Sus scrofa: one gene and its partners. The protein of the gene in region 5 interacts with the protein of the main gene of each other region in a biochemical or structural test. Links are inferred from orthologs where the notes say so. Each region holds a gene or a part of one and is shown on either strand. Other genes may lie near its edges. The genes, in order: USP2, UBL7, USP13, MINDY2, UBC, UBE3C and UBQLN1.

Region 1 (4,202 bases), on a different chromosome or scaffold from region 5:
TGACCCACCAGTTGCAGATGCCTTGGAAGGGGGTCATCCAAGGGGATTGGGGCCCCTCTCAGTCTCTCTCAATCCCAGTAGTTGCCCAAGGGATCGGAGGGGGCAAAGAGGTTAGATAAAGAGACCAGAGATTAGAGCCAGAATCCTGCCTGGAGAAGAGCTGGGTGGGCTGAGGGTGGCGTCTCTAGAGGGCGCTTCTTGATTTGGGGTTGGGAGGGGGTGGGCATTGCTACACTTCCAAGAAAAGGCAAAGATATAGGCCCCCAGGCAATACTGGAGTCCTCAGGTCTTCTTTTCCAACCACCTCCCTCTGGGTGCCCCCACCCCACAGGAGAGCCCCAGGCTCCCTCTCTCCTCTAGGGCTTCCTCTCCTCTTCCTGGTCTCTGAGCCTTTGGTCTTGCTCATAGCACCTACCAGGCCAGGTGGGGCAGCCTCTCACATGCTCCCCCAAACAGACAGGGCTCCCCCAAACAGACAGTCCAGGGCCCTCTGGACAACAGCCCTGTGAAGTTTGGATAGCAAAGGGACAGCTACTGACCTGTGTCCAGGGACACGGGATGGGATCTGGGGGCTTCTCCTTCCCCAGCAGGGCAGGGAGTGCAGTGGCGAGCCCAGAGGCAGGAGTCTGACTTGGGGCCGGGTAATCCGGAGCTCAGGTTACTGACTCCGATATATATAGTATCTTATCTGACCTCACGGAGATGGCTAGCTCCACTCACTGGCATTCCAAGCCTGGGCAGAATTAAAGGGGCAGTGGCAGGCCCTCCCTTGAGGTGGGCCCGTGCCAGGCAAGATCCTACAAGACTGTTTGAAGGGAGGGATTTTGAAATGGGACAGAAGGGGGATTCAAGGGGAAATAGAACTGGAAAGATGGTAGAGGGATGGGGGTGGAATGGAGGCAAAAATATGGAGAAGGAGGTGCCAGTCACAAAACTGGAGGAGAGGAAGAAGCCTCAGTGCTTGTCTGCCTGCTTTACTCTTGAGATGGAAGAGCCCTAGAGGCAGACAGCAGCGTGCTCAAGGGCACACGGATACAAAGGCAGGTGAGACCTCCTCAGGTTCCCAGGCCATTCTCATTTATAATGGACTTCTAAGCCTGGGCTTGTATTCTTTCTTTCCCTTTTATTGGCTCTAAGTCGGTGGGCAAGTCCCTTAAGCCCTCTGAACCTTATTTAGTCTGTAAAATGGGAATAATAATAATAATAATGTTATACCTCACAGGTGTGAGGATTAAATAATATTTGTAAATTTCCTGGCACCTAGTAAGAGCTCAATAAATGGTAATTATTACTATATTGAATACTTCCACTTATAATTAGAGGTAGTTTTTGTAGTAGCACCCTCGGGGGAACCTGGCTAGGGAGAAAAGGGCCTCCAGGCTACCCCGCGGGAGTGCTGTTCTAATGCCATGGTTTTCTGAGCAGGTCTGTGTCCCATAAGTGGCAAGGCAAACGAGGCTTGCCCCATTCCCAGATGTCCAGTCCACCCACCGGCAAAAGGCCGGGCCCTCTTGGGCTCCTTCCTCCTTTGCCTAGAAAAATACAGCAAGTGCAGCTTCCCCGGGGCTCCCGGGAGCAAGCCCAGCTGCTCTGGGGCAGTTCCACTCTACCTGTAGGAGTGCTCAGGATCCCGGAGCCCAAGGAGTGGGGCTGGCTGGGCAGGGTCACAGGAGGAAGGAGCAGGATTCTTAACCTCTCGGCTCTTGGTGCTCTGGTCTGCTCCCAGTCTGTCTGGCCTGTTTCTCGATGGCTCTCCCTGAGGACTGGGAGTACCCAAGATGGGGCCTCCACCCTGTCTCAGCAGAGGCTACTGACTCAGCTCCGGTCCTGATGATGCACTTCAGAGGACGCCCTTGTCCCCGGCCCTCATTCCAGTCCTCATTCCGACCCCGGCTTGACATTATCTACAGCATCAGAGAAGGGGTGGCTGATCCAACCCCAGCTCAACCAGCTCTCCTTTTCCTTGGGTTCTCATTGGGGGACCTTCTCATGCCTGTGCCTGGGGAGGCGAGCAGCAGCAGGATCTCCAACTCGGCCCCATTCGAAGAGCAGCCAGGTCAGGAGGTAGATGCTCACTCCTTAGAGGACAACTAGAATGGATTGGCCAGGGCTCCCTTTGGCTGTTAAATATAAGTTACTAGCCTTAGAGCACCGCGTGCCTGCTTCTGGTTTGGGATTGGTGAAGATTTCAAAGATGCCTCTTTCTGGTTTGGGATTGGTGGAAAATCTCCCCTTCCACTTAAATGCTACCCTCCCCCCACCCCACCCCCTTTGGCAAACCGACCAGAGACAGCCCCCAGGAGCTTTGACAGAGGGAGTAAATGAGCTGCTCGCACACGTGGGGAAAGGATTGTCAGTGTCCAGGCGTCACTCTCAGCCACATCCCACCCAGGGCTCAGAGACCTGGACCTGCCCAAGCAGCGTTTCCGTAGAACACACTGATTAGCGCACAGATGGCTCTTCCTGGCACCCTGGGCTGTCAGCTGGTGCCCCCCCTCCCCCCTACAACTGGTACCCACAGCTGGAGATCTTCAGCGCAGCTGGAACTCGCCCTACATTTCTAGTGCCCATTCTGCCCAGCCTGTCGTTGGCACCTCACTTTCTGAGCCTCAAACAACACTGCCCTCCGCATCACCCCTCCCCAGTATCCGACAGGTGGCAGGTACCTGCCTCTTCTCCGAGGATGGACGAGTCGAGCCGGGCACAAGCATGGAGCTGCGGGTGAGTCCTGACTGGTACTGGAGCGGCGCAGTGAGCAGCAGCTGACGCAGAGGGCTCCCTGGTCTCCGCTCCAGCCCGCCTCTCCCCCACCTCCGCCGGGGGCCCAGAGAGGACCTCCCCGGGAAATCGGCGCCACCCAGCGGGCAGCTGCCTCATTGCGCCGGGGCCGTCAAAGTCACACCCCGCGTTTCGCGTCACTGAGACGCATCACGGCTATTGGCTTTTTGCTATTGTGGCGTCATTAGACTCCGCCCGGCCAGGGTCTCCCAGGCGACCGATATATACAGAGAGCCACGTGAAGGAAAGGTGAGTTTGGAGGCGGGGTGGAGCACAACGAGAAGGGTCCCAATGCGGCAAGAATGTGGCACGACGGGAGAGGTGTAAGGTACTGGGAAAGAGGAAGCGTCTTGGGGGGAAGGGTCAGAAGTTGAGTCCCAGGGCATATATAGCAGCTTTTAGTATTTAGGGAAGGCTAAATGTTCCTCTCCTTCCCACCCGACCAGGAGCGGACCTGTTTTTTTGCCTCTTCTCTTTTTTCTCTACTCTTTAAGACTCTCCACTCAGTAACAGGAGACCAGTGATTAGTGATGACCCCTTGACTGGGTGAACGGAGGCACTGAGTCAATGGAAGGATTCTCTTTTGTCTTTTCAGAAAAAGCCGAAAGGAAATTTGAATTTTTGCCGCTCCTTTTCTTTGTGTATAACCTTTCTCTACTTACACTGCGGTGGTGAAGAAAACCGCATAGCCATGTAGATTGGTGCCGGGGCAAGTCCAGGTTTTCAATTTCACCTGGACCATCAATCCTTTCGTGCCCTTAGCTGCTTCTCTTGTTCTTATGCAAGGCTGGTATTTCTGCCCATCATCACTCTGAAGTCCCTTCTTGTCTTCTCTTTCCCAGAGAAACTAGAAGCAATCAGGAGGAAAACACTTAAAGTTCTTCCTACAAATATATCCAAATCCAGTGTTCCCTCTGCTCCAAGAGCAGTGAAAGAAGTGTCCCGCTTCTTGTCCAGGACAAATCCCTTCTGGATTTCAACTCTTTAATTGTTCCTTAGTGTTACCTGAAAACTGGGTTCACCTCTTGGTGGGCTTCAAGCCAAAAGACACAACCAAGCCAAAGATTGGAAGAAGGTAAAATTTATTACTTGTAGCAAGTAAGAAGAACACCGGGGCAGGGTGTGTGTGTGTGTGTGTGTGTGTGCGCGCGCGCGCGTGTGCACGGCGGTGTCTTTCCCCAAGCAGTGTATCCTGGAACAGCAAAATTGGGGAAGTTTAAAGCTAAGGGTGCATGCATATTCATGAAGGGCCTTGAGCCAAAGAGAATTCACAATAGAATTGAGGCAAAGGTTGCCAGAATCCAAGCTTTAGTTGACTGAAGTCAATGAGGGTCAGCAAAGGTCAACATCATTCCTTAGTTTCAGACCAGGGTCTCAGCTGGTAGTTACATAGTTACCATCCTCCATGGGGGGGGGGCTTAGTT
Region 2 (3,965 bases), on a different chromosome or scaffold from region 5:
GTGGGTTAAGGATCTGGTGTTGCCACAAGTTGCAGTGTAGCTTGCCAATGTGGCTCGGATCTGGCGTGGCTGTGGCGGGGGCTAGGCCACAGGTGCAGCTCCATTTCGACCCCTGGGCTGGGGAACTTGCATATACTGCAGGTGTGGCCATTGAAAAAAAGAAGAAAAGTGGCTCCCTTAATTGATTGGCGAGGCCTAACACCTGCGCAAATACAATCCACTCTAACCATGCATCTAAAATACAGTTGGTGCGGCCTTAAAAAGAAAACAACAACAACAACAATAAAATCAGTTGGCCCCTCAGTATCCGAGGGACAGGGCATTCGGGAATAGGCAGGGCAGACTATATGCCATTTTGCATAAAGTGAGTATCCGCGGATTTGGTATCCGCGGGGGGAGGAGGAGGTGCAGGAAGCAATGCCCCGCGAATACCTAGGGACGACTGTATGCATTTTCTATGAGAATTCAGTGAAAATTCCCCTCCCCGAATTGATTCCATTAATGACCTGGATAAATCCCACCATCGCATACTGGGGCGGACCAGGAACCCGGTTTGCTAACTCCTAAGAACTGACTTTTCGAGGAAGTCATCATTGGGTTCCTGGTAAGCCCCCACAGGGAGGTTTAGTCGGGAGAATCCAGAGGCGAGGGTCACAAAAGAGGCTGACTTCACCGAGGGCAAGTCGTTTTCTGTGAGGGCTGCAAAGAACCGCTGAGGAGTGTCTGAAGAAGCTGCTCGGGAAAGGGCCCTCCCAGAGGGAAAGGTTGGAGCATTTGGGGTCCGCAATCAGGCCGAGAGCCCGGCAGCGGGCGTTCCCACCTGTGACGCTGTAAGGACCTGGCGTAACCTACGGACTCTGCATGCGTCCCAGGACAGTGCGGGAATCACCGGGCAGTACACCTCACACCAAGCCTTGCTCTTACGACCCAAGAGACCCACACCCTAGAACACTAACAATTTCAGTACCCTCTGAGGCGAAAGCACCCAGAGACCCTCGCGCCGTAACTTTCAAATGGTCGCGAAGTCACACCCTCCCCGGAACCGGAAACTTTGCAACTAGCGCCTCTCGCCGGCAAGCTGCTTATAAAGGAGCAGGAGCCGCAGTAGGAACTGCAACTCCCAGAATGCAGCGCGGAGCTTCCGGTTTCCGGCGAGAGGACCTGAGTGAGTGTTTACACGGCGGCCCTGCGGCCGGGTTCCTTCCGCGGGACGGGTGAGGGCGCTGGGTCCCGGGCCGCGCGGGCTCAATGCGTATTGACTAGTTCGCAGGTCCCATGGGAATGGTGGGGTCGTCACCCAGGAGATAGTATTCCTGTCCCAGTATTAACTGTCAGTGACCTTGGGCCACTGATTTCACTTTTTTGAGCCTCAGTTCCTTTGTAGTACGTAGATGATAATGCCTGCCTCGGGGTCCATTTGAGAGGATTAAATGAGATAGGGTATATTAAAAGACCTATTTCCTTCCTGTTTAAAGGCAAAGATGGAAGGTTTTGAGGGTGCCCTGGGGTCTGCTGGACGGCCTCGAAGCCTTTCTTTCCTCTTCCAAAGAAGCCACTTTGGAAGCAATATTGATTATAACAGTGGCCTGGCTTGCCTTACAAGATTCTTTCTCATAGTTTCAGATTCATTTTCTAGGCACCCATATGTACTGGGCATTGGGACAACAAGGACAAAAAATTCTAGTCTTTGCTGTCAAGGGCCTCTACGAATGGGATGCGGGGAGATTGAGATGTAAACAGATGTTTGTAATCCTTTGCCATGAGAGAATGTGAGAACAACAGAGGGGAGGGAGGGAGGACAGAGAGGTTGTGTTTGGGTTGGTCTTGGTAGGAGTTTGCTTAGAGACTGAAGAGGGAAGAGGAATTACATGTAGAGGAGTTAGCAGATGAGCAGAGGTATAAAGTGAGGAGAACTTTGTTGTGAATCCAGGCTTCCTGAGGATAGACCTAAGTGTTGGGGAGGGTGGGGCAGCCCAGAGCTCTTGGGGAAGGCGGTTGTCAGAGAGAAAAGGTGTGAATGGTTTTGAAAATCAGGCTGTGGCATTTAGACTTATTCATAGAGGTGGTTTGGATTCATTGGAGGGGTTCTAAGCAGAGGAATGACTTGATCGGATCTGGTTTTAAAACAAGTTGGCTGGCAGCATGGATATTTGATAGGGAGAGGCAAGAGGCTGTTGTAGCAGTTAAAGCAAGAGATAATGAAGAGTGTACATAGGGGAGAGGGTTGGATGATCTCATTTGAATCTCACAACATTCCTGTTAGCTGGGATGGCATTTTTATATCTACTTGAAAGCCAAAGAAACTGAGGCCTAGAGAGCTGAAGTTCCTTGCTCTCTGTCATAGGATGAGAGAGGACCCCAGATTCTAGTTCTAGCTTCCTGATGCTGCTTCCTAGGCTTTTTCAACAGTGTCACACTGAGTTATCTCTCATTTAGCCCCTTGGTGGGGTGGGGCTGGTGTAGAGTGATGGTCTGTCCTTTAACCATTAAGGCTTTGTTCCTTTCCAGGGAGAAAGAGAGAGCGCGAAAGAGAGAGGATGTCTCTCTCAGATTGGCACCTGGCGGTGAAGCTGGCTGACCAGCCACTTGCCCCCAAATCTATTCTTCGGTTGCCAGAGGCGGAGCTCGGAGAATACTCACTGGGGGGCTATAGTATTTCATTTCTGAAACAGCTTATTGCTGGCAAACTCCAGGAGTCTGTTCCAGACCCGGAGCTGATTGGTGAGTCTCTGTGGACTGGGGTTGGGCTGCTACTCTGATTTCTTTTTGGGGAGAATAATTCTGGAATTACAAGGGTAAATTAAGAGTTTGGGACTTGTTGTCTCATAATGTTAACACTCCAGGGAAGTGATTGTTGTTGGGTGAATAGAGACACAAGTCATATAACAAAGCTACTGGTTGCCATTTTAGTTGTACATTATACTCAGCTGCTTTATCACAAAGGTCTTTAACTATGACATTATTGAATTCTTTCTCTGAAAGAGCAAGAATTTAGGATGGGAAAGAGAAGCTGGTCAGGGAAAGACCCTCAGTATATGGCATTTGAGGTGGGTCTTCGGCATGTGTAGAAGGATGGTTGGTTGGTTAGAGAGAAGGCAGTGAAAAAGGAAGGAAAGGTGGCAAGGGCTTTCTAAGTGGAGGAAGACTAATTACATTATAAATAAACATAATGGTATATAAACTGAAAAATGGTATAAACTGGCAAAAAGTGTGTTTTCAGGCATAAAAAATACTGGGTTCATCCTTTTTTATTTTTGGACTTTCCCACTCCTTTAAATTGAACAGTCTTCATGATGTTAAGCTCTAGAGCTTTCCCGCATATAGATTCTGTATTTTATCAGTTTGTACCTGCTATTAATTGTTATTAAAACGTACTTATTAAATAAGAGTACTGTTTAAAGCATGTATCGTGTATTATTTTGAGGAGCAAAAGATAAATGAACAGGTGTTTTTTTGTTTTGTTTTTTTTTTTTTTAGATCTCATCTACTGTGGCCGGAAGCTCAAAGATGATCAGACTCTTGACTTCTATGGCATTCAGCCTGGGTCCACAGTCCATGTTCTGCGCAAGTCCTGGCCTGAGCCTGATCAGAAACCGGGTGAGAGATTGTTGGCTCTTAGACAGGCAGCGTTTCTGTAATATCTACAAGGGCAGGAGGATCTGTGTGTTCTTGAGGCAGAGCCTGAGTGGGACAAAGGACTGATTTACTGAGATGATAATAGAGGATGTCTTTATTACTTATTGGATTAGACCATGTTGATAAATAGAGCGTAATTCTGGTCTTCTTGCTGCCAGCACCACTGATAGAAGGGGATTTGTTTCTCTACTTTTAAGTTCATTACCCACTGTTCTAATAGGATGGGGAGTATGTGTCTGTTTAAACTCCTTTAGGGCAACAGTTTATTTCTCAGTGGACTTTGTATCTTTTTGTTATTGTTATTGTTCTCAGTAGAAAAAAAGCTAGAA
Region 3 (4,123 bases), on a different chromosome or scaffold from region 5:
GCCATGAAAGTAACTCCTCTAGCACCACTTCAAATCACATTACTCACAGTAGCTCTCCATAACTGATTGTATGAAATCAAGATCCTATACGCAGGTATTCAAGTCCCCCATCTTCTCTCTACTTGGTTCTGACCTCATTGCTTGTGAAATCAGTCTTTTTCTTCCAAATACATCACAAGCAAATAAAAAAAATATTCACACTTTACGTGTTTGTGCATGTGATTTACCTGGCATAAAATGCTGGTCTTCTATTTATTTCTATCCATCTTTATCTATGACCATTTTCAAAAGTATTCAAGGCAAGTATGACTATTTTCTCCACTCAAATGGCTTTGCCCTTTTCTCTACCACAGTCCTATGGCACTGATGGATTAAAGTCTCTGCTGTGTTTGTCACCAATAGATTTTGTTCTTACAGCCATGCATGTATGAGTTGGCACATAGTACGTGCTCAAGAACACTTATGGGATTCATGATGAAGTGTTAGGTAAGTACCATTGAGAAAGGTCTCAAATTATCATGCACTGTGCTTTAATATAACTTGTTATAAAACCTTTCTCTTCCTCCCTTGAAACACAGATAAAGAAATACACTGATTCATCAGCCTTGTAAATAAGCCCAGTTTTCCCCCAAGGAACTACTGTGAATGAAATCATCAGTTTACACTGGACAAGATGCTTCTAGAACGTTTGGCATGCAGTAAGCTCCCAATAACTATTTGTGGAAGTAAATTAAAATAATCAGATTTTTTCCCTACCTGCCATACACTATATACAGTGAAAAAGACTTTCAATAACAAAGTTTGTAAGAAGCATTTTAAGAGTAACCCAGATCAAACATAGAAAAAAAGCAGTCTTACCCACTTCAGACGTTGTGCTATCCTAATGTACCTTATCCACTTTCTTTCTGGAGTTCACATTCTACCAATAGCTTAAGTTTGTTAGGGTTATCCCTCTCCACCGTCAGAAGCTATTAGTAGGAACCTGCCCAACATTGGACATAAAATCTGAAAATGGCATTTTCAAATACTTTGTGGATAACAGGACTGAAAGACTCTGTTGACAGTCACATTAAGCAGTGTGATCACAATATGTGAAATATTAAATTTGTTTTTATTAAATGAAATTAACCATTTTATTCCACTCTACACAGACTTTTTTGAAAGAAAAAAAAAAGTGAAGAACAAATAAGTGAGATTTTTTATCCCCAAAATGATCTGGAATTGGCATAAAAAAATTAAATGTCACAGAGAGGATACTAACTCTGGGACTCCAATGTGTACAAAACAAAAAAGCTGTGAAATCAGTCAAAATCAACTCACAAAATAATAATGAATACTTTGGAACATTTTGCCACCATTGGGTTTTTTTCTTTTCATCCAACAATACAAAACATGAGTAAAATGTGTTAGACTATTGTTGTGAAACCTGTCTCAGTCCTTCCAATCCATGCACCTCCTGTTTGCATTTAGATCTGCCGGGTGACACATGAGCTCTAAAGTGGGTGGATAAAAATAACCTGGTCCTCAAAAAGACATGATAAACGCCAGACAGCTGAGTCACTTTGATGCCCATTTTGACTCCTGAAAGGGACATTCACCCTCCTTTTCCTTTTCACACATACACATGCAACCTAGTGAAAAACACCACCAACCGCCCTGGGTGGAAGGCGGTGATGCGTCTTCACTCCCCACTCCAGTCTCTGAGGTCACGACTCGCGATTGAACTTTTAATAATTTATACTAGTGCATTTCAGTCAAACTAATTCGTTCAGAGGAGGAAGGGGACAGGCTTAAGGAAACCGTAATAATGCAGCAGACCCCTATTTTGCTGCCCAAGTGGAAGCACCCAAAGGTGTCTTCTGACATTCTGACGGAAAGAAAAGGAGTGGGGAGAAATTTCAAGTGGAGGGAGAAACGCTCAGAGAGGAAATCATAATTGTCCAGGAGTGGGAATCCCTGGGCAAAGCAAACGGTCCCAGAAAAAGAAGGGCTGCATTCGTTCAGAGGGAATCAGTCCGGTCCACCTACCAGCCCTTCGCTCTCCCACCAAAGAGAACGCAAACCGTCTGCAGCGTACACTTAAGATCAGGGAACTCTTCGATTCGATCTACGTTTCAAACGTCGGCGGGGCTTGGGTCAGGCTGCTACGAATCCGGGCCCTGTCAGCCTAAGGTTGGAGAAGCAAACCTTCCCAGGTGCCCAGTCTTCGGCTGAGGAGCCTTGGGAATGCAGTGCGCAGCACCTAGTAGACACTAAGTGTTTGCAGAACCGCCGTGCCTCTGGGCCAACTCTGCCGCCCAGAGGAGGAGGTCCCCGGCTGCCACTGCGCATCTTCTCCCCCCAGCTTCACGTGCAGGAGAGTTCGGCTGCTCGCTGTTGCCCCAGGCCGCCTGCACCGCCACCCTCCCGCTAGGCGCCGCCGGCGCCGCCGAGCCTCACTTACGGGAGAGTCGTAGGAGAATGCGCACTCGTTCTTGTAGACTCGGTCCCCGGACCTGGGCACGCGGATCGTCGGCATGTGGGGCACCAGCAGCTCGCCGATGTCTCCTGCAGCCATCTTCCTGCTGCTGCTGCCGCCCGGCATGCCGAATAGGGCGCCCCGGCGCTGCATGGCCGCGGCGCGCACCGGAGCGGAGCTGAGCCGAGCTGGAGCGTTGGGTCTGCCCGCGGCTGCGGCGGGCTGCGCGGGCGACGGGAGCCGAGCCGGGGCGGGCAGGGAGAGCGGGCCGCGGGGCGGGAGCGGGCACCCGGGGCCTGGGGCGGGCTGGCCAAGGGGACGCTGCTATTTTTAATCCAATGGCGAATCGCCGGCCCAGCTGCAGCGTCAGGCGGGGCGTTCGGGAGCGCCAGCCGCAGCGCGCGGGGAGGGGGCGCTGGAGAGGGGCCTCGAGCAGTGGCCGCGCTAGGAGCGGGGGTGGAGGGCGAGCCCCGGCGGGCAGACTCGGGAGTCGTGAGTCGGACTTGAGGCACAACCGCAGTGTTTTCTATTCTAAATCGCTAGGTTGCAAAGGGACATCTCCGAGGCAGCCAACACAAAGAGCAGGGTTTGAGGTTTGAAAAACCGCTAGCTTTTAAAAACAGCCGAAGATAACAGCGGGGACTACTCCCGAGTGCACTCGAGGTGCAGATCGGGAACCCAAGTTGGGCCCAAATCTAAATTTGTGATTTGCATTTCGGTGTTAATTTCACTAAGGCTTGTTCCACACTTTTTTTTTTTTTTTTTTTTTGGTCTTTTTGTCTTTTTTTGTTGTTGTTGTTGCTATTTCTTGGGCCGCTCCCGCGGCATATGGAGGTTCCCAGGCTAGGGGCTGAATCGGAGCTGTAGCCACCGGCCTACGCCAGAGCCACAGCAACGCGGGATCCGAGCCGCGTCAGCAACCTACACCACAGCTCACGGCAACGCCGGATCGTTAACCCACTGAGCAAGGGCAGGGACCGAACCCGCAACCTCATGGTTCCTAGTCGGATTCGTTAACCACTGCGCCACGACGGGAACTCCTGTTCCACACTTTTTTTAACATCTAAAACTCACTAAAAGAGAATAAAATAGGATCCAGTAAGGACAGATGTATGTTTTATCAGTAATACTGATTGTTATTAACGTATGGGGCAGGAAGTGTCAAGATTATTTTCGGGGGCACGGAAATTTTACATTTTTCTCTATCTTTCAGACGTCTTCCGCGAGATTTGGTGTCAATCATTCAACTTACTGATTTGGGATCTTACGTGCAGACATACATCTTCCCTGCCTTGCAAGTCCAGTTACTCAAAATAAAAAATAAGTGGGGTTATGTGGGGGGGGGTGTGAATAATCTGCAAACAGAGCATGTTCTCATTTTCTCCCAAAAATTCTTAAAACAAGATTCAATTCCATTGAGGTTCTCTAACTACACCCAACCTAAAGAACAGAGTACCAGTGATAAGTGCCAGTTAACAGAGAAATAGTGAATCAAAACACTGATTTCTGGGAGTTTTCTCGTGGCTCAGAGGGTTAAGGATATGGAGGTGTCACTGCTATGGCTCTGATTACAGCTGTGGCTGCGGGTTCGATCAGGAAAGGATGATACCTGGAATTTGATGTGAGATAGATGGATGAGCCCTTTCTTGCCCCGCTCTTTTAAAT
Region 4 (3,500 bases), on a different chromosome or scaffold from region 5:
TTTGTTCACATTGGTTTGTAGTCTTTGAAGCTGCTAAGAACTTAAACATTTTGAAAAATCTTTTTTTTTTTTTTTGTCTTTTTAGGGCCGCACCCATGGCATATGGAGGTTCCTAGGCTAGGGGTTGAATTGGAGCTGTAGCTGCTGGCCTACGCCACAGCCACAGCAACACTAGATCTGACGCGTGTCTGCGACCTACACCACAGCTCATGGCAACGCCAGATCCTTAACCCACTAAGTGGGGCAAGGGATCAAACCTGTGTCCTCAAGGATGCTAGTCAGATTCTCTTCCCCGAGCCATGACAGGAACTCCAAAAATTTTGAAAAATCTTGCCATCAGAACCTCAGAAAAAAGTTTCACTAAATGAGAAATATATTAAGATAATCACAAATTTAGAACAATGTCATAAAACCCACGGATGCTAAAATGCTAACAGAATTGAGGAGTCAATATCTAATTTAAAAATGTTTTAATCCCAGAACAAATTTTTTTTTATTGCTAGAGTGATCATTGTATTTAAGAATCAGAACACTAGTTTTTACCTGGGCCTGTGCAGAAGCAGAAGTAGAAGCAGGAGCAGAAGCAGAAACAGAAGCAGAAACAGAAGCAGAAACAGAAGCAGCAGCTGCTGCTTGTTCCTGTTCCTGATAATATTGAGAAGCTCGTCTATCTTCTTCTTCTTGGAGTTTCTTTGCTAGTTCCAAATCACTGATTCCTTCAGGTATTTGTTCCCAATTGATCTCTTGGCTCTGCTGTTCTTGTTGTAGAGATAATGCCATAAGATAGTCCTAAGAAATTACATTATAACCATCTTTAGCTATGAGATTTACCCAAGAACTTGCATGTGTAAATATAGAGACTTCATCTGCAAGCCTCTGAGAATGGCTTTTAAAAAACACACAAGAGCTTAAATACAAAAATACAAGTTATTTATTTCTGTTTGGGAGTTATAAACATTTCAGCGATGCTGCCATTATTATAAATATTTTAAAAATTTATTTGAAATACTTTCTAGAAGCAGTATATAAGGCATTTAAGGAAGCTTTAAAAAATATGTCCATAGAAAATTGAGACAAAATAAAAAAAGCATAAATAAGAAAGTTAGGATAACCATAATATCTTTACAGAGAGGCAACCATTGTTAACAATATACAGTCCACTTCATTTTTTCTATATTCAGATACAAATTCAAACACATCTCCCAACCCCTGAAACTATCACAATGTTTTCTTTTCCACTTAGTGTCATAAAAGTCTTATTTTAATAAAATTACAAGAACTTCGCAAAATTATTTACTTTTTTTTTTTTTTTTTTTGGTCTTTTTAGGGCCACACCTGAGGCATAAGGAGATTTCCAGACTCCAATCAGAGGTGTAGCTGCTGGCCTTTACCACAGCCACAGCAACACTGGATCCGAGCTGTGTCTGCGACCTACACCACAGCTCACAGCAACGCTGGATCCTTAACTCACTGAGCAAGGCCAAGGATCGAACCCGTATCCTCATAGATGCTAGTTGGGTTTGTTAACTGCTGAACCACGATGGGTATTCCTACTAAATATTCTTTCAAAACATGATTTTTAAAGCCAACATGGCTGCCCATCATAAAATCATATTCAGTTACTTAATCACATTCTTCCTCCTCCTACACACACACCCAGATTATTTCCTATGAAAGAAAGTGATGTCTCTTTGGTTAAAAGTTACATTATCTAATTTATCCACTCTCTTCTCTCATTTTTAAAAGTTTTATTGAAGTATAGTTGATTTATAATGTAGTCGATTTACAATGTAGTGATAATTTTATTGAGGTATAGTTGATTTATGTTTCTATAAAACAAAGTGTTCAGTTATATACATATACGCACATCCATTTAATATCCACTTTTATGAAGCTATATACTCTCAAAGTAAGAGAATTTTAAACAACCACAGAAGATATATAAGAGGTTTTTGCCTGTGAAGACCTTGTACTATCTATAATGATTATCTTACTGACATCAAGAATTTGTCTTTCTCGGAGTTCCCGTCGTGGCGCAGTGGTTAACGAATCCGACTAGGAACCATGAGGTTGCGGGTTCGGTCCCTGCCCTTGCTCAGTGGGTTAACGATCCGGCGTTGCCGTGAGCTGTGGTGTAGGTTGCAGATGCGGCTCGGATCCCGCGTTGCTGTGGCTCTGGCGTAGGCCGGTGGCTACAGCTCCGATTCAACCCCTAGCCTGGGAACCTCCATATGCCTCGGGAGCGGCCCAAGAAATAGCAACAGCAACAACAACAACAACGACAAAAAAGACAAAAAAAAAAAAATTCCCGCAAATGATGCTCACTCAGATATTAGTTCAAAAAAAAAAAAAAAAAAAAAAAAAAAAGAATTTGTCTTTCAGGAGTTCCTGTTGTGGTATAGTAGAAACAAACCCTACTAGTATTGATGAGGATGCAGGTTTGATACCCGGCCTGGCTCACTGGGTCAAGGATCAGCATTGCTGTGGGCAGTGGTGTAGGTCGCAGATGCGGTTGGGATCTGGCGTTGTTGTGGCTGTGGCGTAGGCTGGTAGCTGCAGCTGCAATTTGACCTGTAGCCTTGGAACTTCCATATGCTGTGGGTGTGGCCCTAAAAAGCAAAAAAAAGAAAAAAAGAATTTGTCCTTCAAATTTTTCTCCTTAATTCTATAAACTCCACTCTTTGCCAAGTCCCTTCTTTGATACCTTTATAGATAATATCAATATTCTCAGTATTCTCATCATCTTACACTGTGGCAAACTATTGCTTTACTTCATTCCCTTTGCACCAATATTTTTTATCTAAGGTATTTAGAAGAATCCTGTACATTTCTCTTAATATTTAAAAATGCCCCTGTATACCTTCTGAAGGAAAGTGAGTGTGTCAATAATTATAGCTGTCAAAGGAAAGCCAAGAGTCCTAGAAAGATTAGCATTTTTGGAATCAAGTATTCCTTTGTCTACTTATAACTTGCTATTCAAATTGTCATTATAGAACTTAATATAAAATATTAGTTGGTCAAATACCTGCCTCTCCAACTAGACTGCAGAATCCTTGAGGACAGGACTGAATGATTTAGTGTCCCCAGGACCTAGTTATAGTGCCAGGAATACAAGTGCTTAACGAACACTGGCTAAATTAACAGTCTCTATGCACTTAGTGTTATCAGCAAAACATGTGGCAACTGTTTAACATAACCATATTTCCCCCTCAGTTGAAGAAAGTGTCACATCACTGTTATACTTCTAGTAATAAACATACTTGTGGCTCCAGGCCTCCTCACCTAGAGCAGGCAAAAATCTCATCTATCGCAGTTCTAAATAAGAATTCTACTCAGTAGTGCTCCTATGATAAATTGTCTGTTCCTCCTTACTTTGGGCTCTAAGGCTTTTGTGTCTTATTAGAGTCCTACTCTTTACCCAGTGCATGGTATCTTCAAGAGTCCCTCTTTTCTACTTTTTTTTTGACTAGCCAAGATAGATCTCAAATATGTACTTGTCT
Region 5 (2,208 bases):
GCAACAGTTAAGAGCCAATAATCTTCTCTACTAATACTTAAAACTTTCTAATGTAATGCCTAATGAGACTTTTCTAATAACAAATGCCAGAGCCTTTCTTTCAAAAATGGTCAAATGACTTTCCAGACAGTTCAAAGTGAATTTAAATAGATTTACATACTAACCCTGATTCTTCCATAGGTTCCCATCACTCCCACCCTCTTTTTGATTCTTTCTCCTGGCTGGTACTGCAGAAACTTCCCCTTCTCAGATACTACATCCAGTATTTACAAGTAAATCTACATAGAAGAGTACATATGAATAATTCTGCAACCTCTTACTAGTCTGGGTTTTATTTATACTCACCCACTACAGTTCTACATTAAAACCATCTTTTACTGACATTTCTTACCTCCTGTTTACCACAGATTATGTAGCAGACTGAAAACACTTGATCTCTTATACCCAACCCGACCTAAAAAAAAAAATCCTCCTTAGACACTTAAAAATAAATCACACTATTTTGGAATGCAACAACTTTATTGAAAGAAAAGTGCAATGAAATTTGTTGAAAGCTTAAAAGGGAGAACTTAGAAACCTCCCCTCAAGCGCAGGACCAAGTGCAGGGTGGACTCCTTCTGGATGTTGTAGTCAGACAGGGTGCGCCCATCTTCCAGCTGCTTCCCGGCAAAGATCAGCCTCTGCTGGTCTGGGGGGATGCCTTCCTTGTCTTGGATCTTCGCCTTGACATTCTCGATGGTGTCGCTGGGCTCCACTTCCAGGGTGATGGTCTTACCAGTCAAGGTCTTCACGAAGATCTGCATCCCACCTCTGAGGCGGAGGACCAGGTGCAGGGTGGACTCCTTCTGGATGTTGTAGTCAGACAGGGTGCGCCCATCTTCCAGCTGCTTCCCGGCAAAGATCAGCCTCTGCTGGTCTGGGGGGATGCCTTCCTTGTCTTGGATCTTCGCCTTGACATTCTCGATGGTGTCGCTGGGCTCCACTTCCAGGGTGATGGTCTTACCAGTCAAGGTCTTCACGAAGATCTGCATCCCACCTCTGAGGCGGAGGACCAGGTGCAGGGTGGACTCCTTCTGGATGTTGTAGTCAGACAGGGTGCGCCCATCTTCCAGCTGCTTCCCGGCAAAGATCAGCCTCTGCTGGTCTGGGGGGATGCCTTCCTTGTCTTGGATCTTCGCCTTGACGTTCTCGATGGTGTCGCTGGGCTCCACTTCCAGGGTGATGGTCTTACCAGTCAAGGTCTTCACGAAGATCTGCATCCCACCTCTGAGGCGGAGGACCAGGTGCAGGGTGGACTCCTTCTGGATGTTGTAGTCAGACAGGGTGCGCCCATCTTCCAGCTGCTTCCCGGCAAAGATCAGCCTCTGCTGGTCTGGGGGGATGCCTTCCTTGTCCTGGATCTTCGCCTTGACGTTCTCGATGGTGTCGCTGGGCTCCACTTCCAGGGTGATGGTCTTACCAGTCAAGGTCTTCACGAAGATCTGCATCCCACCTCTGAGGCGGAGGACCAGGTGCAGGGTGGACTCCTTCTGGATGTTGTAGTCAGACAGGGTGCGCCCATCTTCCAGCTGCTTCCCGGCAAAGATCAGCCTCTGCTGGTCTGGGGGGATGCCTTCCTTGTCTTGGATCTTCGCCTTGACGTTCTCGATGGTGTCGCTGGGCTCCACTTCCAGGGTGATGGTCTTACCAGTCAAGGTCTTCACGAAGATCTGCATCCCACCTCTGAGGCGGAGGACCAGGTGCAGGGTGGACTCCTTCTGGATGTTGTAGTCAGACAGGGTGCGCCCATCTTCCAGCTGCTTCCCGGCAAAGATCAGCCTCTGCTGGTCTGGGGGGATGCCTTCCTTGTCCTGGATCTTCGCCTTGACGTTCTCGATGGTGTCGCTGGGCTCCACTTCCAGGGTGATGGTCTTACCAGTCAAGGTCTTCACGAAGATCTGCATCCCACCTCTGAGGCGGAGGACCAGGTGCAGGGTGGACTCCTTCTGGATGTTGTAGTCAGACAGGGTGCGCCCATCTTCCAGCTGCTTCCCGGCAAAGATCAGCCTCTGCTGGTCTGGGGGGATGCCTTCCTTGTCCTGGATCTTCGCCTTGACGTTCTCGATGGTGTCGCTGGGCTCCACTTCCAGGGTGATGGTCTTACCAGTCAAGGTCTTCACAAAGATCTGCATCCCACCTCTGAGGCGGAGGACCAGGTGCAGGGTGGAC
Region 6 (2,160 bases), on a different chromosome or scaffold from region 5:
GGGTTAGGGATCCTGCCGTGGCTGTGACCTAGGCCTCAGCTCCTGCTCGGATCGGACCCCTAGCCCTGCAACTTCCATGTGCTGTGGGTTTGGCCCTAAAAAGAAAAGGAAAACCTCATTTGGGGCTGTGCCTGTTAACGGAGCGCTGCCGCCCGCTGTCTTGCAGGAGCTGTACCCCGCGTTCTGCATCCACAACGGCGGCTCCGACCTGGAGCGGCTGCCCACGGCCAGCACCTGCATGAACCTGCTCAAGCTGCCCGAGTTCCACGACGAGGCGCTGCTGCGGAGCAAGCTGCTCTATGCCATCGAGTGCGCGGCAGGCTTCGAGCTGAGCTGAGCCAACCGCGCCGCGTCGCCCGGCCCCGGCCCCGGGCCCCGACGGAGAGGGCGCAGGGCCTCCGCGCTGCCCGGGCCGAGGAGGGCGCCCGGGCCGACGCCCGGAGCTGCCGCGGGCCTGTCTCCCCGCCACCCCCTCCCGGCATTTTTTTAGTGATTCCTTAAGTTGTGCTCACGTAGAGGGTGAAGTAAGTTAAAAACAGATGTATGTGCCGCGGGGCTCACGTAGTCGTTTTGCCAAGAAGAGCACAGTTTGCAGACGAGTGGCGACTCAGTGAAACTAACCAAAGACGAAGCTTTGGCTCAGCGGAGCCCCGGGGCCCCTTGGAGCCGCCCCTGCTCCCGCTCCCGCTCCGCTGCGGGGCGCCGTCCGGAGGGGGGAGGCGCTCCCTCCCAGCGCCACTGCTTCTCGTGTGATTGAATTGTTTACAAGCCGAATTGTTAGACGAAAGGCATTTTCTTTTCCTGCTGCCTTTTCCCAAAGTGGTTAGGTTTGGAAAATAGGTAACAATGGTGATCTTTTATTTGTGTTTTTAAGCCATCTCCCCACCATGGGACTAGCATGCTTGTTCCCGGTGTGCCCCCGACCTGCATCATGATGGTTTGGACATTACTGTGCGTGGGTGTGTGTGTGAGGTGGGCCCTTCCTTCCTTTTCCATTTCCGCCTCCACTTTGTGCCTGGAGAGCTTTCAGGGGAGGGGGGTCTCCGTCCAGTCCCTGCGGCGTGTGTGAGACCCGCGTGAGCGATGGCTCGGGGAGAGGCCACCCGCAGCACCGTCTCGAGTCACTTGAACCAAAGTGGCGCTGCGCCTTTGCACTGCGGCCGGCCCGCCAGCCCAGCCCGCCCCGCCCCCGCCCCCGCCCCCGCCCCCGCCCCCGCCCGGCCGCTGCGCGGGGAAGAGGGCGGGGCTGCGCGGGAAGAGGGCGGGGCCCCACGCGCGGCGCGGGGCGGGGCGGGGCGGGTTGGTGACTCTCTGGGATTCGGCACTTTATCAGGAGCTGGGTGGTTTCAGACTCTCCAAGCGGAGGGTGTTTGAACGCGTCATCTGCGAGTGCAGGGACCCTTTGCTGACGCTGGGGGCGCCAAGAAAGCAGACCACGGCTCTTCTGCGGCTGGGGTTTGGCTGTCCCTGGAGCTCTGGGCTGTCCCGTGGAAGTGACCAGAATTAGCAATATGCTTTTAAATGTGGGGAAAGCGAATGACACTTTTAAGACAATGACCATTATCAAAACAAAATGTATAATTTCTTAATTTGAACAATAAATTAAGTGTTTAAATGCTATTTGTAGTCTTGATATACAAAAATAAAATAATTAGGGTTTTGTCCTTGGTTTTATTTTCATTTTAGGTTTTCTGTTGAATGTTCTAGGTCTTCTCTGCTTAGTAGTTGATCTGTATATTTTATTATCAGTCTTTTGGAAATGAAATATCTGGGACTGAAAAGAAATGGGCAGTTACACTTTGGGGGTTTTTCCTCAGTCATCCTGAGCGTATTTATTTATTTGTATGTTCCAGTGGCTAAATATTTGCATTAATTTTTTCCCCCAAGTCTGTGTTGGAGTCGTACCCCCAGTTGTAATTAGTTCTGTTCTGCCCCAGTAAAACCATGACCGGTAACCACTGAGTTTTCCATGGTTGTTTGAATGTCAGTTAATACAGGCTGATTATTCAGAGTCACATACGCCAGGCAGTCCTGTGTGTTGCCTGAGCTGCACTGACAGAGGCTTTGGGGAGGTGGACGCGTCACCGCCCTTCCCGCACAAGCTCTGGCCAGGGCCAGGGCCGACCCAGGAGTGGCTGTCACCTCATCAGGTCCCAGGCG
Region 7 (4,001 bases), on a different chromosome or scaffold from region 5:
CTGCTGTGCCACGACAGGACCTCCAGCTCTTATATTTGTTTCACCAATCATTTAACAAACAAAAATTGTTCAAAAGAATATGCCTCAGACACCCTGTGGCCAAATCAGATCCTAGGCCTGTTTTTGTAAGTAGTTTTACCAGGACACAGGGAGGCTTAGTTACCCATACACTGTCTGCAGTTGTTCTTTGTTACAAGCACAGAGCTGAGTATTTGAGATGGAAAATGTATGGTCCACAAAGCCCGATACAGCTACTATCTAGTCTTTCGATGGTTTCTTACAAGGTAGAGTTGTATCCAAAAAGGGCTCTAATGAATTACTTAACTACATAGTCTTACAGATAAATTCTATTACTCCATAAATTGAGCATAGTCATCAGAATTTTTGTAGAAATTGATGTAGATATAAATAATTACAGAGAAATTTTTCCTAAGTGTAGGGTTAGAGATAAATGATTGGTTTTCCAATGGCAGAACTTTCCACCTTGACAAGTAATGATTACCTCACATCCAGACACAAACAAACAGTCATCTTCTAGCAGAGAGCCTTGTGTAACTTCTTCATGCTATTATTGAACAAGCTGCCAGGAATGTAGCTGATATCAGATGATGCCTATGTTGCAATTTACACTTTGAGAGCTCCTCTTAGACCGAGATTCCAAAGGAGCTCTGCTAAAAAGTGGTCTTCATGTAAGAGTACTTATAACCAGAACAGAGTTGGATGGCTTAAGAACAGAAATACAGTACGTATCCTTGCATATTTGGATCATGGTGGGGTGTCAGAGTTTACACTTGTGCAATACTGGTTAATAAAGTTCATGTCCTGTGTTGTACATTCCTTTGCAAGTCATCTTCAAAGGCAGATGATAAGTTCATTTCAAATTTAGAATTCTTTAGAGGGAAATTAACTTACTGTTTCTTATTTGTACCCATGTTTCATTGAATATAATCTTCGAAACTTTAATGCCACTTGAAGTCTGAAATGAAGCAGTAACTTAATTTGAAAGAATATAAAATGAACACCTGAGCTTCATTAAATTGTCCCAGTTGGGTGGGCACTTCTTGGGTACTCTGCTTGTGCCACAAACATTTGGGGGGATAGTATTCAGAGAACTCCAGGATGCACTAGCAGGGTTGTCAACGCAGGAGAGGCCACTGTCAACACAGGTGGCCTGATCACCTGACCAAACGGGACTGACCCGAGGGTGGGAAGCTCTGGCCATGGAGCAGTGACTCCGCGAAACTGCGCAAGGTGGCTACAGGCATGTACTCCATTTTCCTTTTCTTAGGACGAGGATTTTTTTCCTCCATTAATTCATAATTCAACTCTCGCGCACCGGGCTATAAGAGCAAGTGTTTTAAAGCTTCCAAGTGGGTAAGAATCAAGCACATTTAAAATCAACGAAACACCTTGCGGGCATTTGTTCTAGACCCTCCTCGCAGCAGGCTACGCAAAGCAGGTACGGGAGCTAAGGGGGTGCGCACCGCCACCGGGGGGAGGGGGGGTGTAAGGTGAGGGGGTTGGGGAAACTACCTGGCCCACCAGCGCGCACGCGCATCTCCAGCCGCAGCGCCCAGTGGTCGATACCCCTTTCCAGTACTTTCGCTAGCCGTGACGTCATCCCTCTGCGCCCTTTCTGTCTCCCCGAGAACACGCGAGTTTATTTTTTGGTGAAAGGGGTAAAAAGAAATGAACTGACCTCTTCTACCCCACTTTGTTTTTAGTCCTTCATTCTGAACGCGCCTACGCTTTGAGCAATGGAGCAGGAAAGGGCAAAAAAGCCAGCCAGAGTCCCAAGCGGCGCCGGCCTGGCATGACTCGGCTACGTCTCCAGCCGCGTTACCCGGCGTGCCCCGCGCGGCGCCGGCAGAGGGACGTGGGGGGGAGGGGCGGGGAGGAGGAAGCGGCGGCGGCGGCTGCGGATGTCGCTGTGAGCGAGCGGCATCTGAACACACGGCGGCTGCCGAGCGCCCAACCCGGGCCTGCGCCGGGGTCCACGCCAAGCTTCGCGGCCCCTCGCCCGCTAGGACAGCCCTGCGCCCGTTGTCACCGAGGCAGCGTGCCCCACATTCTCCGCTGCCCAGGCCGGCCGGCTCTGGCGTCGCCTGGCTCCCCCTCGTTCGCCCGCTCCCTCCTGCGCGCCTGAGTCACCGCCGTCGCCGCCATGGCCGAGAATGGTGAAAGCGGCAGCCCTCCGAGCTCCCAGGACAGCGCCGCCGCGGCCGAAGGTGCCGGCGCCCCCGCGGCCGCTGCCTCCGCCGAGCCCAAGATCATGAAAGTCACCGTGAAGACCCCGAAGGAGAAGGAGGAGTTCGCAGTGCCGGAGAATAGCTCAGTCCAGCAGGTGAGGGCCGCCCTAGGCTCGGGGCGTAGTGGGGATGGCGGCAGGACCTCCGCCCGCCGTGGGAGGAGACGGTTTTGCAAGGGTTTGGCGGTGGTGGGGGTCGTCCCCGGAGGTGCCCTCATCCTTTCTCCCGCGTCTCATCCCAAATTCGATCACACCCAAGTTCGTGGGTTTGCTCCTGGGGGCATCGCAGGTTTGTGGCGGGGGCCGCGCGGCCTTTTTGGGGGATGAACAGATGCTGCTTCTCTCGGCTCCTTCTTCGGGCGTCCACAGACCCCCAGCCTCCTCCTCCAGCTCCCCGCCCCCAGCCGCCTCCTTCTGGCTCCTCACAAAGGAAAGGGACCCGCCGCCTGGCTCCGGGCGGGGTGGAGTCTGGGTTAGGGTTCGCCTTAGCCTAGTCTGCGATTTTGTCTCGTGAAAAAAAAAAAAGGGGATGCTCATTGTTTTACCTGCCTACAGGTTAAGGTGGATTGGGGGATGACGAGCACGTGTACATTTGGTTCTGCGTTTTGAGTGCTGAAAATTTTCCCATCTTCCAATCTTTAAAGAAAAAATTAACTATGACGTAGAAATTGTTTTCAGCCATATCTTAAGTGCTAGTACTAGGCTTAAACAGAAGAGGGGATGACTTTCATTGACGATTTGCTGGTCTTTTTTTAAAGTGTATTTGTCATCGCTTAGATGCCAATCATTGGGGAGGTTTTTTGTTTGATTTTAGTGGGAGAACTGCGTTATTCAGATATTAGCGTATGCAGTCGGATAACAACGAAATTGGAGTTAATGGAGAACATGCAAATATGCTACTTAAAATCTGTTCAGGAATACAAATCCCGCAGTTAATAGTCTTGAGGAATTTAACACATTGTTTTAGCTTATTGAATATACGTCTCAGGATATTTTCTACAATTATTGAGTTGATCTCAGCGTGAACAGTTTATGAAGAAGCAAAAATTACTGAAACGTACTTGTGAATGTCCCTAGGAACAATAAATGATTAGGGCATTTGTATATATAATTCTGAAAGGTGTTGTGTTTTGTCAAGTAGTAAGTAGAGTGTGTAGCATCAAGTGAGAAACTTTGACCACCTATTGAATCACCATATTTTTTTCCCTCAATATAACTATAAAAAATTTCCTTAACGTTTTTATGTTTTCTAGCATACAGGGAAATTGAAATAATTGTGCAGTGAACACCATGTGTCCATTGCCTACAGTTAGTATCTAGCTTTATTTGCTCTGTCATACAATTAATTTTATTTTTTCGGATGCATTTCAGGGTAAGTTTTAAGCATTAGTACATGTTACTCTTAAAAAGCACTTTAGTAATGTGCCTATCATTAACCTGAATTCATTTTTTTAACCTAAATTTTTTTTAGTTAAATTTGACTTGCGGTGAAGCGCACAATTGCCATTCCATGAGTTTTCCCACGTACATACACCTGTGTAATCCGAAGCCTTATCAAGTTGTAGAACTTTATAATTGACTAGGAAATTTCCCCCTTGCCCTTTCCCAGTCAGTTCAGTGACTCTCCTCCGTTAACCACTGTTTTGATTTCTTCCATGGATTCATTTTGCTTTTTCTAGAATTTCACATAAGTGGGATTATTGGGTATGTACTCTGAGTAAGGCTTTTTCTTTCAGCTTAGTGTTTTTGAGAC

Evidence for each region.
Region 1: of the proteins of UBC (region 5) and USP2, one has a biochemical effect on the other in vitro, tested with the Homo sapiens proteins (21 studies listed by BioGRID, with this or other methods). The link is inferred for Sus scrofa from reciprocal best matches to the Homo sapiens genes UBC and USP2.
Region 2: the proteins of UBC (region 5) and UBL7 form a complex in vitro, tested with the Homo sapiens proteins (6 studies listed by BioGRID, with this or other methods). The link is inferred for Sus scrofa from reciprocal best matches to the Homo sapiens genes UBC and UBL7.
Region 3: the proteins of UBC (region 5) and USP13 form a complex in vitro, tested with the Homo sapiens proteins (9 studies listed by BioGRID, with this or other methods). The link is inferred for Sus scrofa from reciprocal best matches to the Homo sapiens genes UBC and USP13.
Region 4: the proteins of UBC (region 5) and MINDY2 form a complex in vitro, tested with the Homo sapiens proteins (5 studies listed by BioGRID, with this or other methods). The link is inferred for Sus scrofa from reciprocal best matches to the Homo sapiens genes UBC and MINDY2.
Region 6: of the proteins of UBC (region 5) and UBE3C, one has a biochemical effect on the other in vitro, tested with the Homo sapiens proteins (5 studies listed by BioGRID). The link is inferred for Sus scrofa from reciprocal best matches to the Homo sapiens genes UBC and UBE3C.
Region 7: the proteins of UBC (region 5) and UBQLN1 form a complex in vitro, tested with the Homo sapiens proteins (13 studies listed by BioGRID and IntAct, with this or other methods). The link is inferred for Sus scrofa from reciprocal best matches to the Homo sapiens genes UBC and UBQLN1.

What each region holds. Positions count from the first base shown.
Region 1 is NC_010451.4:46,587,555-46,591,756, forward strand, and holds the start of USP2 (ubiquitin carboxyl-terminal hydrolase 2), read right to left. Parts: upstream 2,801-4,202; 5' UTR 2,671-2,800; exon of another isoform or gene 2,667-2,670; intron 660-2,666; exon of another isoform or gene 540-659; intron 1-539. UniProt on the Homo sapiens protein: Hydrolase that deubiquitinates polyubiquitinated target proteins such as MDM2, MDM4 and CCND1. Isoform 1 and isoform 4 possess both ubiquitin-specific peptidase and isopeptidase activities.
Region 2 is NC_010449.5:59,069,592-59,073,556, forward strand, and holds the start of UBL7 (ubiquitin-like protein 7), read left to right. Parts: upstream 1-1,165; 5' UTR 1,166-1,214; intron 1,215-2,508; coding exon of another isoform or gene 2,509-2,537; coding exon 2,538-2,721; intron 2,722-3,477; coding exon 3,478-3,597; intron 3,598-3,965.
Region 3 is NC_010455.5:117,698,757-117,702,879, reverse strand, and holds the start of USP13 (ubiquitin carboxyl-terminal hydrolase 13), read right to left. Parts: upstream 2,801-4,123; 5' UTR 2,612-2,800; coding exon 2,444-2,611; intron 2,338-2,443; exon of another isoform or gene 2,029-2,337; intron 1-2,028. UniProt on the Homo sapiens protein: Deubiquitinase that mediates deubiquitination of target proteins such as BECN1, MITF, SKP2 and USP10 and is involved in various processes such as autophagy, endoplasmic reticulum-associated degradation (ERAD), cell cycle progression or DNA damage response.
Region 4 is NC_010443.5:113,178,762-113,182,261, forward strand, and holds part of MINDY2 (ubiquitin carboxyl-terminal hydrolase MINDY-2), read right to left. Parts: intron 790-3,500; coding exon 544-789; intron 1-543. UniProt on the Homo sapiens protein: Hydrolase that can remove 'Lys-48'-linked conjugated ubiquitin from proteins. Binds to polyubiquitin chains of different linkage types, including 'Lys-6', 'Lys-11', 'Lys-29', 'Lys-33', 'Lys-48' and 'Lys-63'.
Region 5 is NC_010456.5:28,259,064-28,261,271, reverse strand, and holds the end of UBC (polyubiquitin-C), read right to left. Parts: coding exon 570-2,208; 3' UTR 501-569; downstream 1-500.
Region 6 is NC_010460.4:1,541,954-1,544,113, reverse strand, and holds the end of UBE3C (ubiquitin-protein ligase E3C), read left to right. Parts: intron 1-166; coding exon 167-337; 3' UTR 338-1,660; downstream 1,661-2,160. UniProt on the Homo sapiens protein: E3 ubiquitin-protein ligase that specifically catalyzes 'Lys-29'- and 'Lys-48'-linked polyubiquitin chains.
Region 7 is NC_010452.4:31,274,715-31,278,715, forward strand, and holds the start of UBQLN1 (ubiquilin-1), read left to right. Parts: upstream 1-1,201; 5' UTR 1,202-1,459; intron 1,460-1,699; exon of another isoform or gene 1,700-1,724; 5' UTR 1,725-2,164; coding exon 2,165-2,344; intron 2,345-4,001. UniProt on the Homo sapiens protein: Plays an important role in the regulation of different protein degradation mechanisms and pathways including ubiquitin-proteasome system (UPS), autophagy and endoplasmic reticulum-associated protein degradation (ERAD) pathway.